2 linked regions of the Arabidopsis thaliana genome follow. The protein of the gene in region 2 interacts with the protein of the main gene of each other region in a biochemical or structural test. Each region holds a gene or a part of one and is shown on either strand. Other genes may lie near its edges. The genes, in order: RCN1 and ATB' BETA.

Evidence for each region.
Region 1: the proteins of ATB' BETA (region 2) and RCN1 form a complex in vitro, tested with the Arabidopsis thaliana proteins (one study listed by BioGRID).

The regions. Positions count from the first base shown.
Region 1 is NC_003070.9:8,949,151-8,955,686, reverse strand, and holds RCN1 (ARM repeat superfamily protein), read right to left. Parts: upstream 4,526-6,536; 5' UTR 4,377-4,525; intron 4,014-4,376; 5' UTR 3,988-4,013; coding exon 3,595-3,987; intron 3,501-3,594; coding exon 3,254-3,500; intron 3,058-3,253; coding exon 2,945-3,057; intron 2,812-2,944; coding exon 2,732-2,811; intron 2,511-2,731; coding exon 2,369-2,510; intron 2,286-2,368; coding exon 2,205-2,285; intron 2,023-2,204; coding exon 1,918-2,022; intron 1,833-1,917; coding exon 1,650-1,832; intron 1,569-1,649; coding exon 1,476-1,568; intron 1,306-1,475; coding exon 1,166-1,305; intron 1,067-1,165; coding exon 1,000-1,066; intron 911-999; coding exon 788-910; 3' UTR 527-787; downstream 1-526. Other genes in the region: AT1G25500 (Plasma-membrane choline transporter family protein), read left to right, coding at 71-250; AT1G25480 (aluminum activated malate transporter family protein), read right to left, coding at 4,811-5,425, 5,712-5,858, 5,952-6,088, 6,188-6,457. UniProt on the Arabidopsis thaliana protein: The A subunit of protein phosphatase 2A serves as a scaffolding molecule to coordinate the assembly of the catalytic subunit and a variable regulatory B subunit. Seems to act as a positive regulator of PP2A catalytic activity.
Region 2 is NC_003074.8:3,027,486-3,033,097, reverse strand, and holds ATB' BETA (Protein phosphatase 2A regulatory B subunit family protein), read right to left. Parts: upstream 3,628-5,612; 5' UTR 3,197-3,627; coding exon 2,036-3,196; intron 1,506-2,035; coding exon 1,167-1,505; 3' UTR 699-1,166; downstream 1-698. Other genes in the region: AT3G09890 (Ankyrin repeat family protein), read right to left, coding at 243-420; AT3G09870 (SAUR-like auxin-responsive protein family), read left to right, coding at 5,202-5,543.

The sequences.
Region 1 (6,536 bases), on a different chromosome or scaffold from region 2:
CTTTTAGTCACCCAAAAAATTACATGACCAACTTGTTCACTTTGTTTCATTGATCCAATGTGGTGTTCAGGTGGGTTTAGGAATGGTGGTAGTCGAAAGCGCTGTGACATCGATATACATATGTTTTGCTGAAGATCCTTTGTTGATTCAGAGATGGGATGCTGATTTCTACACTGAGATGTCTGAGGTGCTTCACCGTCGTCTCCAACATCGTAGCTCGCGAGCCCGTGAAGTTTTGACGACCGCTTGATTAGCCTATGCCTCCTCTTGGAAAATAGGAGATATAACTGTAGAATATTATGCTATTAGAGGGTGCTAAAAGCGGGCTAACCCTTGTGGCTAAAATTATTTTGTCAAATGATTTATGCTTTCTATTTGTTGAATCATGAATAGGAGGCTGTGGGCGTTTGTATCAAAATCTAATGTATTGATTTTTGTGTTTATTAGAAAAACAAAATCAATTGAATAGAACAAAGTTGATCTAGAGGGGTTGGATAAAGTTTGAAACAAGAACTAGTCAGAAGACCAAACATAGCCACACGCATTTCACTCTATCTCAAATAGTTTCACTAAGGGAGTAGTGTTAGCATTAGTAAACTAAGAAGAATGTATAAGGTTTGGAACAACAGAAAGTGTAAAAAAGGTAATACAATTTTACTAACAAAAATAGTTGCAGTTCATAGCCAGCAACCAAAATGGCGTTTTACACAAACAAACCAAATAAATTGCAGAGAACACGAATAATAGAAACTTAACTTAACGATCATACATATGAAAAAAAAACAATTCAGGATTGTGCTGCTGTGGAACCATCGATGGAATTAAGTGCTTGATTTGCAAAATAACGAACATCAACATCAGGGTCTTCGCTCAGGTCCACCAAACACTGACGGATTGTTTTGTCCACCACCTACAAATTTTTGACACGGCAAAAACATTAAAATTCAACAATTTCCATTAGTTTTCGATATAACTGAGTTATGTTTGTTATGATCGTACTGATTGGTCGACTATGGGGATGAGGGATTGCAGAAGTTTGGCAACGTTGAACTTGATGTTTGGAACTCTGCAGAGATAAGAGGTGTGCAACAACAACACATTAAAAACTAAGAAGTGTTCTTAAACTAGTTTGGCTTATTCATATCCTCTAATCTATCTATTGTACCTGTCTTTTGATGCTTCAACAACCACAGGAAGAAACTTAGAGCATGTGATTTCTGATCCCATTACAGGCGCCATGAGAGATATTGCGCGTAGAACCATCATCCTGTGTAGGTAGTGCGGATTGTTGACCATGTCCAATACCTGTTTATATGATAAAGGTCAATCTGGAGATCTCAATATTTGCAGCTTTAGTGATATCCAAAGAAAAGGGACCAAAGCTGGAGATTAGATGTTATAGGTGAGGTACTTGACATAGATCAACAATAAGATAAACAGACAGATGGTTTTAGTATAAAATGCTCAAAGAATACCTGGGGAACTAAGTGCTGCATTGCCCATTCAGGACCAAACTCCTCTGCGAGGCGCTTTAGGTTGTTTGCTGCAGCTTCGCGGATAGAGTAGACCTGAAGGAGGAGAACAGTGTCAATATCTACAATAACAAGTGAATGAGAAATTTATGCAAACATCAAAGATTCAAGGTAAACCTTGTCTTGCAGCCATTGCATGCAAAGGGCTCCGAGCTTGTCATCGAAAAATCCTATACCTAACTGGCTGGCCAACAGTGGAACATACTCTATTATTGCAAGTCGGACTCTCCAGTGCCGATCCTCAGCAAGTTCTACAATGGCCGGTAACAAGGATTGAGATAGTAGATCAATTCCAATAACCTGCCGTAAAAGATAATTCAGTCACCAACTAAATAAGGAAGCAATAAAAGTAGTATCTAAAGCACACAAGAGAGATGCAACAAACCTGGTTGACTTGATCTAACTTGCTTATGATGTTAAGGCGCACATCAGGAAATTCATCTTTCAAAAGGGAAAGAAAAATTGGTAACAGATGCTCAATGGTTGAGTCCTGTATTGAAAGATTTTAGTATGTTAATAATTTTTTGATAAGGTCTGCAACACCAGTTGGGGCTGGTATAACCACGCCATAACACAAGGTATGGCTGATTTTGTTGATGAAAACCATAAAACAAATTAAATCTCAGAACATTGTCACAAGATGCGAAAATGTTGGCTATCTTCAGTTCATACCTTCCCAAGGATAGGAGCCATCCCCATTATTACTGAAGCTAGAGCAGAGCGGACATGTTGAGAAGAATCCGATGATAATTCCTGCCAGACATCAGTATGTATCAGAATATTACGAGACAGGGGACATCAAACAACTCGTTTATATAGAATTTAAGGAGTCTTACCTTCACACAAGGAAGGATGTGCTGAATCGCAAGCTCTGGATTCAAAAGCCGACAGAACTTGGTCACTTTTCCCGCTGCTGCTATTCGCACTTCAGCCTCATTGTCCCTTAGCAATCTCACATATGCTGGAACCAAATCCGTCCTAGAGATATTATAACATAAATTGTGTCAAAATAAAAAGATACATGTACAAACATAGAACTACCATGGAAGGCTCTTATATGAACGAAAAAGAATAAAGAAAACTTCCAATAGACGCTCTTAGATGCATATTTGTTTGAAGGTCACAAAACTGTTTTACGAGAACGAAAGCCTAGATTAGCAAGGATGACAAAAAAATCAACAATGTCACAAAACACATACCTCGTGCAATCAGGACCCACTGCCTCACAAAGTTCATATAGCTGATTAGCAACCATGTAGCGCACCCTCCAAGATTTATCCTGCTCTCAGAAATCAATACAAACACCATAGAAAAACATCAGAACAGCAAGCTTTTACCGATGAAAATTAAACATGGAACAGCAGACAATTAACTGAAAAATCCATGAATGAAAAAAACAAAGCTCAATTCACCTGAGAGAAATTAACAATAACAGGTAAAATGCGTGCAACACAATCCTGAGGTTCCAACAACTTTCCAAGAGCTGCACACCCTTCAACAGCCAATAGTCTCACAGAATCTTGGTCTGAAATGAAGGTTAAAGTTTAACCAATATAAGCACAGATAAAACAAACATTTCTGAAGAGGTAAGTATCCAATATATTTCATCAAACAGCGTTTATTAATTCAAATGTGATCTCTTTACCATACTCTTGGGTCTATGCAAACTATTTCTAAGTGATGAGCACATATAAAGTACGATATATTCAAACATTAAGTACCATCTTTAGTAAGATCATCGAACATAGTCATGATCTCAGCAATCAAAAAGGTAGACTCGACAGTTGTAGCAAATTTCCCCAGGTTAGATGCAGCAGCTCTTCGCACCATTGGCATATCATCTTTGCACAACTGGCTATAAGTAGCCCGTAACTCAGTCTTCAACACATCAGTGCAACCTTGGTATGCAACATGAAATATACCACATGCAGAAACTCTTGCTGCAAACCATTCACCACCCGCTAACCTCTACAAGACAAACAACAAAACAAAAAAAAAAGCTTTGATTGAACCAACTAACAAAACGGCGTAATCTAGTGCTACATAAATCTCCTAAACTAACCTTCACAAGAGGAACAAAAGATTCAACAAGATCATTCTCTTTCATCTGAGATCCAATCTTACAAAGCGATTCCACAGCTTTTTCTCTCACACAAGTCTCTTCAACAGTACATAGAGATTCCAAAGGAGGAAGAAGAACATGCGCAAACTCAATTCCTCCAACAAACGGAATAAAAACTCCTAACTCCTCAGCCATTGCAAGAAGCACCTCATCGTCATCGTCACTATTCTCACTCAAAAAAGGGATTAACTCCTTCCTTGTACGCTCCTCTCCAAGAGCACGAGCTATAGTAGATAAGCGACGGATCGAGTTCAAACGAAGCTGAATATCATCATTCTTAAGCTCATCTATAAGCACAGCAATGGGATACAACGGTTCATCTACCATAGCCATCTTATGTGAAAGTTCGAATCAAATCACTGCAACACCAAAAATAATTCCTATGAGCTCATTGCTATAAGAGACGAAACAATAGATATTTTCGGATCTCGAATAAAATATTTAGTAATAAATACGAGAAATCATTTACAGATCCTGGGAAAAAACAATTATAGCCACTCGAGTGTTATCTTCGGCTTTATTGATTTTTCTCTACTTGCACAAACAGATTAAGACTATACTGCAGATTTTGAAACGAATCGGGTATGAATAAAACAGAAGAAGCGAGAAATGGGTTCAGATTCACCGGTTCGAAGTTGGATTAAAGGGAATGTGAATCGGAAAATGAAGGTTTAGAGATGAGATCTTATGATTCGTTAAGAAGAAACTGGAAATCAACTTACCGATCCAGGCGTCGGAGAAGAACTGCTTCAGATTCCCAGGAGCGAGAAAAGGTGAGAAAGAGGAATTCGCGAGCGAGAAAAATAATATTCTGCGTTTGATTTTTTTTTACGAAGGATTTATTAAAGGGAAAGATATAAAATGACGAAAGTGTCTAATTGGGCCATTTTGGGCTTTCTTAGGATTGGGTTATGTTGGGCTTTAATCAATTTTTTGCTTTAAAAAATTAAACAGTTGATTCAATTGATACAATGAAAGAAAAACAAAACTTTCCAATTGAGTTTATGACTTTGCCAAAACAAAACAAAAAGGAATTAGGAACTTATTTCAAGACAGCAAACAAACAAAGCAATAATGTATATAATTTTCTATACAAAATCAACTATATCCCTGGAGCTGAAGCAGCTACTGAGTCTGGTCCAGAGTCCAGCTTTTTCTATATCCGTGTCTCGCTAACTTGTTCTTTGAAATCGGCTTTAGTGCTTAGTTCCTCATACGCGTTAACAATATTTTGGAGCCTTGCAACAAACTCGATCAAAAGAGACGCAAATGTAGCTAGCGACAAAGAACTCGCACTTTCATATACTTTGGATTCTATCTCATTGATCATAGAACCGCCTATGAAAGAGACGCTTGGCCAGTTTTCGCGGTTCCTAAGCATCATACTCTCTGTTGATATCCATAGCTGAGAATCATTACCAGCGTGTTGATTCTGATGATGAGGGTTGTTGTTATTGTCCCATATCTGGCTGAGGGATTGAATCACTTTAGACTCGTCGTCTTTGGCTTCGTGATAGTTTTGTTGCGCTTCTTCAGCTTCGGCTTTCTCTTTCATAGCAGCCCAGCTTTCTGAGTTGACAAGTAGGAAGGAGTTACTGTCTATTTTCATCTGTAGTTCCTCTGCTGCTCTTTGAACATCCTTGAGAACGTTCCCTGGGCTTAGCTTCTCCATTTTCTCCACCTTTTCTCCAAACAACCTCAAGACTTTGGCTCCTTCGTTTCCAACTCTTTGAAGTTCTTGACGAAAAGCCTGCCTTTTTTCTGGAGCTGCCTGCAAATCCCACACCAATTGATATCACAAGTCTTATAGGGCATACGACAAGCATTGAACTCAAAGAAAACCATTCACTAGTAACAACAGTAAACTAGGAGATCCCACTTTGCACCTACTCAACAATTATATGACAAATATCCGACTTCTCAGAGTAACAGTCTAGTTAATCACGAAGAGGTACTAGTAGCATTTGAAGCAGGTTGGTATAGTCTCTAATAACCATTATAGCACCTCATTTGCTATGATAGATAAAGTTGTATTTAACAAGAATATGGTAAGTTACCTGAATTTCCGAAAGAATGCAGCCATGCATTGCCATGACCATGAAAGCGCAGTGCCTTACTGCGCCACTAAGTTTGACGTAGTTTGCCCATGGATGGTGGAAAGTCTTATATGGTCCATGTGGAGGCTCCCATACTGCAAAATCAAGCTGAGGAAAAAAGAGGTCATCGTATCTTATCATCTAAATCCTTTTCAAGTTATCTAGTTGCTGCTCAACAAAAGTGTCCTAAGGAAAACACACCAGAGAATCTTCTTGGCTCGTAGATTGGACTACAGACCTGTATCCACTGTATAATGGATCATCCGAAGCTTGGTAAGTGAGAATCTTCGAAGGAATCCTCTCGTATTCAACACATTGCAAGTACCCATTAACACATCCTGAAAGTTTTAGGAAAGCACAAACAAAACAAGACATAAAAAAACAGCCAAAACCCGAAACGAAACAAGAGAAAACAGCCATTTGACGTATCTCTCTACCTTCAAGTGAATTGGCCACACTTTTGAAATTCTTAACAACTAGTTTATGGAGGTCTTCTCCAGCCCAAATGGGAAGTATAAATATGTTCACACCCAAACAGATACCAGCACCAACCAGGATAAGCAAAAACCTATAATAAGCAGTGCTAAAAAAATCTCTAGAGTTGTTTCCAGACACAAGAACAATACAGTATGTCAACAAAAACACCCTGAATGCATATTCATACGACTTCATCGCCGGGTATAGTTTCAAATAACTTGCAGAAAAACCTGATAGACAAACCAACAGATTCACAAGTATCAAAAATAAAGTTAGTATGTTTATTTAAAAAAGGTTCATTTCTAATAA
Region 2 (5,612 bases):
CTTATCCTTCCTAAGTGAACCTAAACTAGATTGAGCAAACCAGTGAGTCAAATGGAAAATGAAGCCCTTAAGGTGGCTTAAAAGGATGAGACGAAGATCAAACTAGAGGAATCTTCTGCAATGAATGTGGGAAATTTTGAGGCTTTTTTGGTCTGACCAGCTAATCAAGCAATACGCAATTGAAGATGAAATTGAAATTGAAATTTGTTAAAAGCAGCAACGAGAAGAAGTAAGGAAAGTACCGATGGCGGTGCGCAAGGCGGCGACATCTCCGGCCTGAGCAGCGGCGGCCAAGTCACGGAGGTGAGAGGGAAGCTCGGAATCGGTGTCGTAGTCAACACCGTTTTCCTCAAAGATAGCGTTTTCTCCGTCAACATCTTCTTCTTCATTCAAACCATTTCCTCCTCTTGGAACAGCCATTGTAGTCTCTCTTTGTCTCGCTCTCTTTTGTTTTTTCTCCACCGCCGTGGAATGATTTTCTTGTAACAAGTAAAACAACTAATCGCCGCCGTGCAATAAGCTACCTCAATAAAATTTAGGTTTTCTCGTGGTGAATTGGCGCAGTTAATTAACTGTATATAACTTGGTATATTCTCTCGGTCTATGTTTTCGGTCCAATGGCTCTGAACCAATTTGGTTAATAATAAAGAAGACGATATTGTGTTTAGTTTACCTTAAGAGTTAAAATGAAAACTCTTCTTATCTTTTGGAAATTGAGGAATCAAATACATTGTCCTGGATCAGTTGGAAGACTAGTTTCCTCCTATATACAAATTCAAAGTTTTGATACAAATAACACAAAAAGTAGGGTAAGAATGGATCAAAACAAGAAAACCAAATTGGATTTTGAGATGGCTAATAACACAAGCTACAAACATCCATCCACAGTATATATAATTAAAATTTTACAAAATTTTAAAGTGCCTTTCCACGAACAAAATTAGACAGAAGATCACAAACACATTTCTTAGTACTAAAGACATATTCTCTGATAGTAATGGCTCACTTCTCTCTCTCTACTTCTCTGAGCAATCAGATTTTGAACCCATGATTCTCAAAACAACAAACAAATCCAAGTTTGATAAGAAAATTAATATAGTAACTCATTTGATAAAATGAGAACAAACAAAAAAAAAAGTGAAAGAATTATACCCTTTTTGATCGATCTAGGAAGTGATCATATGATCTTCTTCTCCTCCTCCTCCATCTCGCTCCGCCGCTGCTTCTGCTAATCTCTTCCATGTATATTGCCGTTGTTCTTCTACTTCTTTGGATTTCGCTTGTTTCTCTTCATACTGTCTCTGACATTCTTCAAACAGTTCAGGATCCATTTCCATGAACATTTTCTTGATATTTGTGGTTAGACCATGAACTGCTTGGTTCCAGTGAGACTGGATGTTCTTCTCCAGTGTGGGATATATGATTGGAAGGATCACGCTTCGGTTTTGCGCGATTAGACCCACAATGTGCTCGTTGTTCCACAAGAACAGTGCTCGTTCTGCAACCTGTATCGGATTTATGAGATATACATATGAGCATAAGGCAAACCCCACATAGAATTCTAGGAAAGTTTGAGCTGTTGCACAAAGACATAACGGGAAACTTGTGTGATTCCTAGAAATCAGTAAGCACAGTAACAATACATTCAGAGAGTTAATTCACTCCATAAATTTTGAAACAACTGAATCATGGAAAATGAAGATGATCTAGGAATCCAAGGATTTAATCAGAGTAGAAGCTATCAAAAGCATGAGATATAACGCATACTTATGAGAGTTAGTACCAACAAGATCATTTTATGAATGAAAATCAACATGTGGCAAAAATGAAGAGAAAGAGGCAAAGCAAAAAGAAAAACAGAACAAAAAAAAACAATTTGCACTAAACTTGATGAAGCACTAGTTCTTTTCAGGGAAGAAATCAGACCAGAGTCAAAAGAGCTAAATAACAAAATCTCCATATTTAAGGTAATATGCATAATAAGCCTTCCATGTGGGGATTAAAAAAAAACACCATTGCAAACACGACGACTAACCTGAAAGTGGGAGCTAGTGAGACAGCGACCAATTTGTTGGAATAATGGAACCATGCAACGCTGGAACTCGACAGGCTGTGTTGCCTCAAGAACTTCTTCAAGTTCTCCAAGGAAGAGATTCTCCTTTGAGCAGTTTGTCACGGGCCAATACTTTAACAATCCCCTGATTACTGTATCCGCAAGCTTATAATCTTTTTCCACAAACTGAACGATGCAATAAGATAACTGCTGATGATATACAACGATTGGTTTTGGCTTATGCAATGGTATCAACACCCTGATTAAGAATAGCTTGTGTTCCTCCTTCATAGGCAATGCAAACCCGTTTATGATACTGCCTAGAATCTCCAAGAGTTCCCCAATCCCACTGTGTCTCTCTGTCTCATAAATAAACCTATAGAATATGTTGTTGATTGCTTTCCTAATAAAGGGTCTGTGGACCATAAACTTCCCATATATCCTATGAAGAATCGTTTTCAAATACTCCCTCTCTCTTGGGTCCTCAGAATCAAACAAATCGAGCAACTTTAACACAAAAGAATGGTCGATATACCGTTTGGCCACCTTTGTATCAGTGTCAGTCGAAACAACATATCTCAGGAGCAACTCGTAAACTAGCTGTAAGTGAGGCCAAGAAGGTTCCAAATAAGGTTCTTCTTCCTCAGGATCTGCAGGCTCTTGACCCGTATTCTCGTGTGATGCTGGTGGGAGAGACCGGAAAATATTAACAGAAATCATCTTAATCATTTCTTCCTGACACGACTCTGAGATCTTACTAGATCCAGACTGTATAAAATCCACCAGCTCCAACAACGTTTGCCTCTTAATCTCCTTGTCTCTAGCATTCTTAATCGTGTCAGTGAAATCGAAAAGGAAACAGCAATTCTGAAGTTTCCTCAAGAACAAAGTTTGCCTCTCTGAAACCGGCACATCTCTAAACAACGGGAGTGGCTCCACCGAGCCCAAAGGCGGAGGAGGTGGAGTTGCAGTCACTGGCGACGGAGAAGAATTAACCAATGCACCACGAGAAGCGTGACTAACGACCACATTGGAGCCAGGACCTGACCTATTATCAGGTAGACCAATCCCATAACTAGACGGTTCATTAGCTTCGGATTTAGAGGGCTTTCGATGCCCACCTTTCATGATTTTCTTAAACATGGCTTACGCAACGAAGAGCAAAGGACCCCAAACTAAACCCTAAGTTTCCGAGCTGAGGAGATTTACACTAGCAGGGGAGCTCAAAATTGAATCAGCATGTAACGGAGAAGGAATCAAAAAGCCTGAGTATTCAGATTCAAATCCTAAGAATTCACAGATAAGCTTTCACTATGCCTCTCTCGGATCAAGCTCCTCATTTTCGTAATCTGGCGGATAAGGATTTGGAGGAAAAAAAAGCGAGAAATGATACCGGAATGTTGTCGGAGATCTGAGCTGGTGAAAATCAGAAGAACGTTGAAGTAATCGAAGAGATCTTCTCGGAGTACACGGTGGTTGATCGGACGGCTAAGATTTTCCGGTGATCAAATCAGGAAGAGAGCGAGAAAGAGAGAGAGAGGAGAGAAATGGGAACAAAGGGACTAAAATCAAAATGGATACGGAGAAAATAAATTACAACTTGAGTGTCCATAGATTTTTATTTATTTAAAATTTGTCCACTTATTTTGTTTGGTACTCTATTTATCCACTAACAAAAATTGAAGGTGGTTAATTATTTTCTCGTTTAACATTAGGTTTAAGTATGGTTTCTCATGAATGTGGTTTCTGATATAAGTACTTTAGGTTAAAGAAGAGTTTGCTGATTACAAAATTGTTTTATCATCTCTAAGTAGAAACAAAAATAAAGCAACTTCCGTGAGTTAGAAGATAGTGGCGAATTCAAGAACTCTGAAATTTGATTTACTCTATTTGGTAAGTAATCCAAGTTTTGAATTATTTAAATACTCTCTAAGTGACTCTATAATAAACTGGTCAAGTGTTTACACTTTACTCACCCCAAATTCCTTGGATTTGTTAATGAGACTAGAGTAGCTAGAAACTTTTTGATTAGTGGGCCAAAAATATTTTATTTTTCTTGTAGCCCACATAACTTCATGATCCATGTCCATGTGAATGTCCAATATAAGAAGACCTTAGTTTACCAATGTTTTTCAACAACATCTAAAATTCACATGCTGACGTGTTTTTTTTTTTCTTTCTTTCAACTAACTTTCTTTTTAAGAATTCACATAACATTTTACTATTACCAATACAATATTAATGCATTTTCTTCATTTTTTAAAATTTTCACTCTTTTTGTAACCAATTAATAGTTTAACAAAAATAAAGAAAGAATGACTTAAATCCCTCACACTGCACTGGTATTTACTAGTGGGAGGAGGGCTGGTCCTAAACTTAGACCAAAGAAAGACCAAATTCCTCTGTTTTCACATAGTACTCTGTTTTTACAACAATTTTGTTTATATCTTAATTCAGTGGGGTTACATTACATTATAAGTACGCAACGGTGTTAGAAAATTTGAACAAACATTTAATGATTCCGTACAGACCGGACCACGAGGTAGTTGACATGTTATACGATAAATACTCTATTCTCTAGATAATGACAATTTCTTCACTTCTTTTATGTGTCGGCACAAATGTAATGGAGTAGGAGACTATGAGTATATACAACAAACCCAACACGAAAAGTAATTCTTCAAATGCGTGAATTTTAGTGAAAACCTAAACAATCAAAGTCCTTTTGTTTTGGTAATTTTACTTGTGCCATACACTTTGATTTGTAGTGAAAACGTAAATAATCAAAGTCCTTCAAGATTCTTAAGTTCTTAACAAGGATAAAAGATTGAACCAGAGGGATCAACCATCTTAATTACAAAGGAAAGAGGTGTGAAGTTACACTTTTTGGACTGCAGAAGCGTGTTCTTGTGAGGCCCCACTATTCTCAGGAGAGCAAAGAAAGAGAACAGCTGATACACAAATGGGGGATTGCATTAAATGTTGTAATCAAGAAATCTCTTAGAAATTTCCTAACTATGAATGGTGAGTGTATAAAACCAAACTCTCTAACCCAAAAGAATGCAACAACTCCACCAAAGAAGAAGAAGAAGAAGAAGAAGCAAAGAACACTAATCAGAGCTTTACTTCTACTGTTGACGTTTTGAGAATGTGCAAAAAGTTTAAGATTTTCATGAGAAAGCTACAAATTTGCTGCTTATTCACTAGATTCTCTAAAAGGGTAGGGAATTATTGTGAGTTTGAGGAAGAGGGTAATGCTGCATCAATGATTCCAAGTGATGTGAAGGAAGGGCATGTAGCAGTGATTGCGGTTAAGGGAGAGAGAATTAAGAGGTTTGTTTTAGAGCTTGAAGAGTTGAACAAACCAGAGTTCTTGAGGCTGCTCGAACAAGCGAGAGAGGAATTCGGGTTTCAACCAAGAGGACCTCTGACCATCCCATGCCAGCCGGAAGAAGTACAGAAGATTCTACAAGGAAGTAGAGAGTCTTGAATTTTGATTTGTAGAGCAACATTGTTAGTTGAAATTCTTTGCTTACAAGAATTTACCATTCTTTCTCTT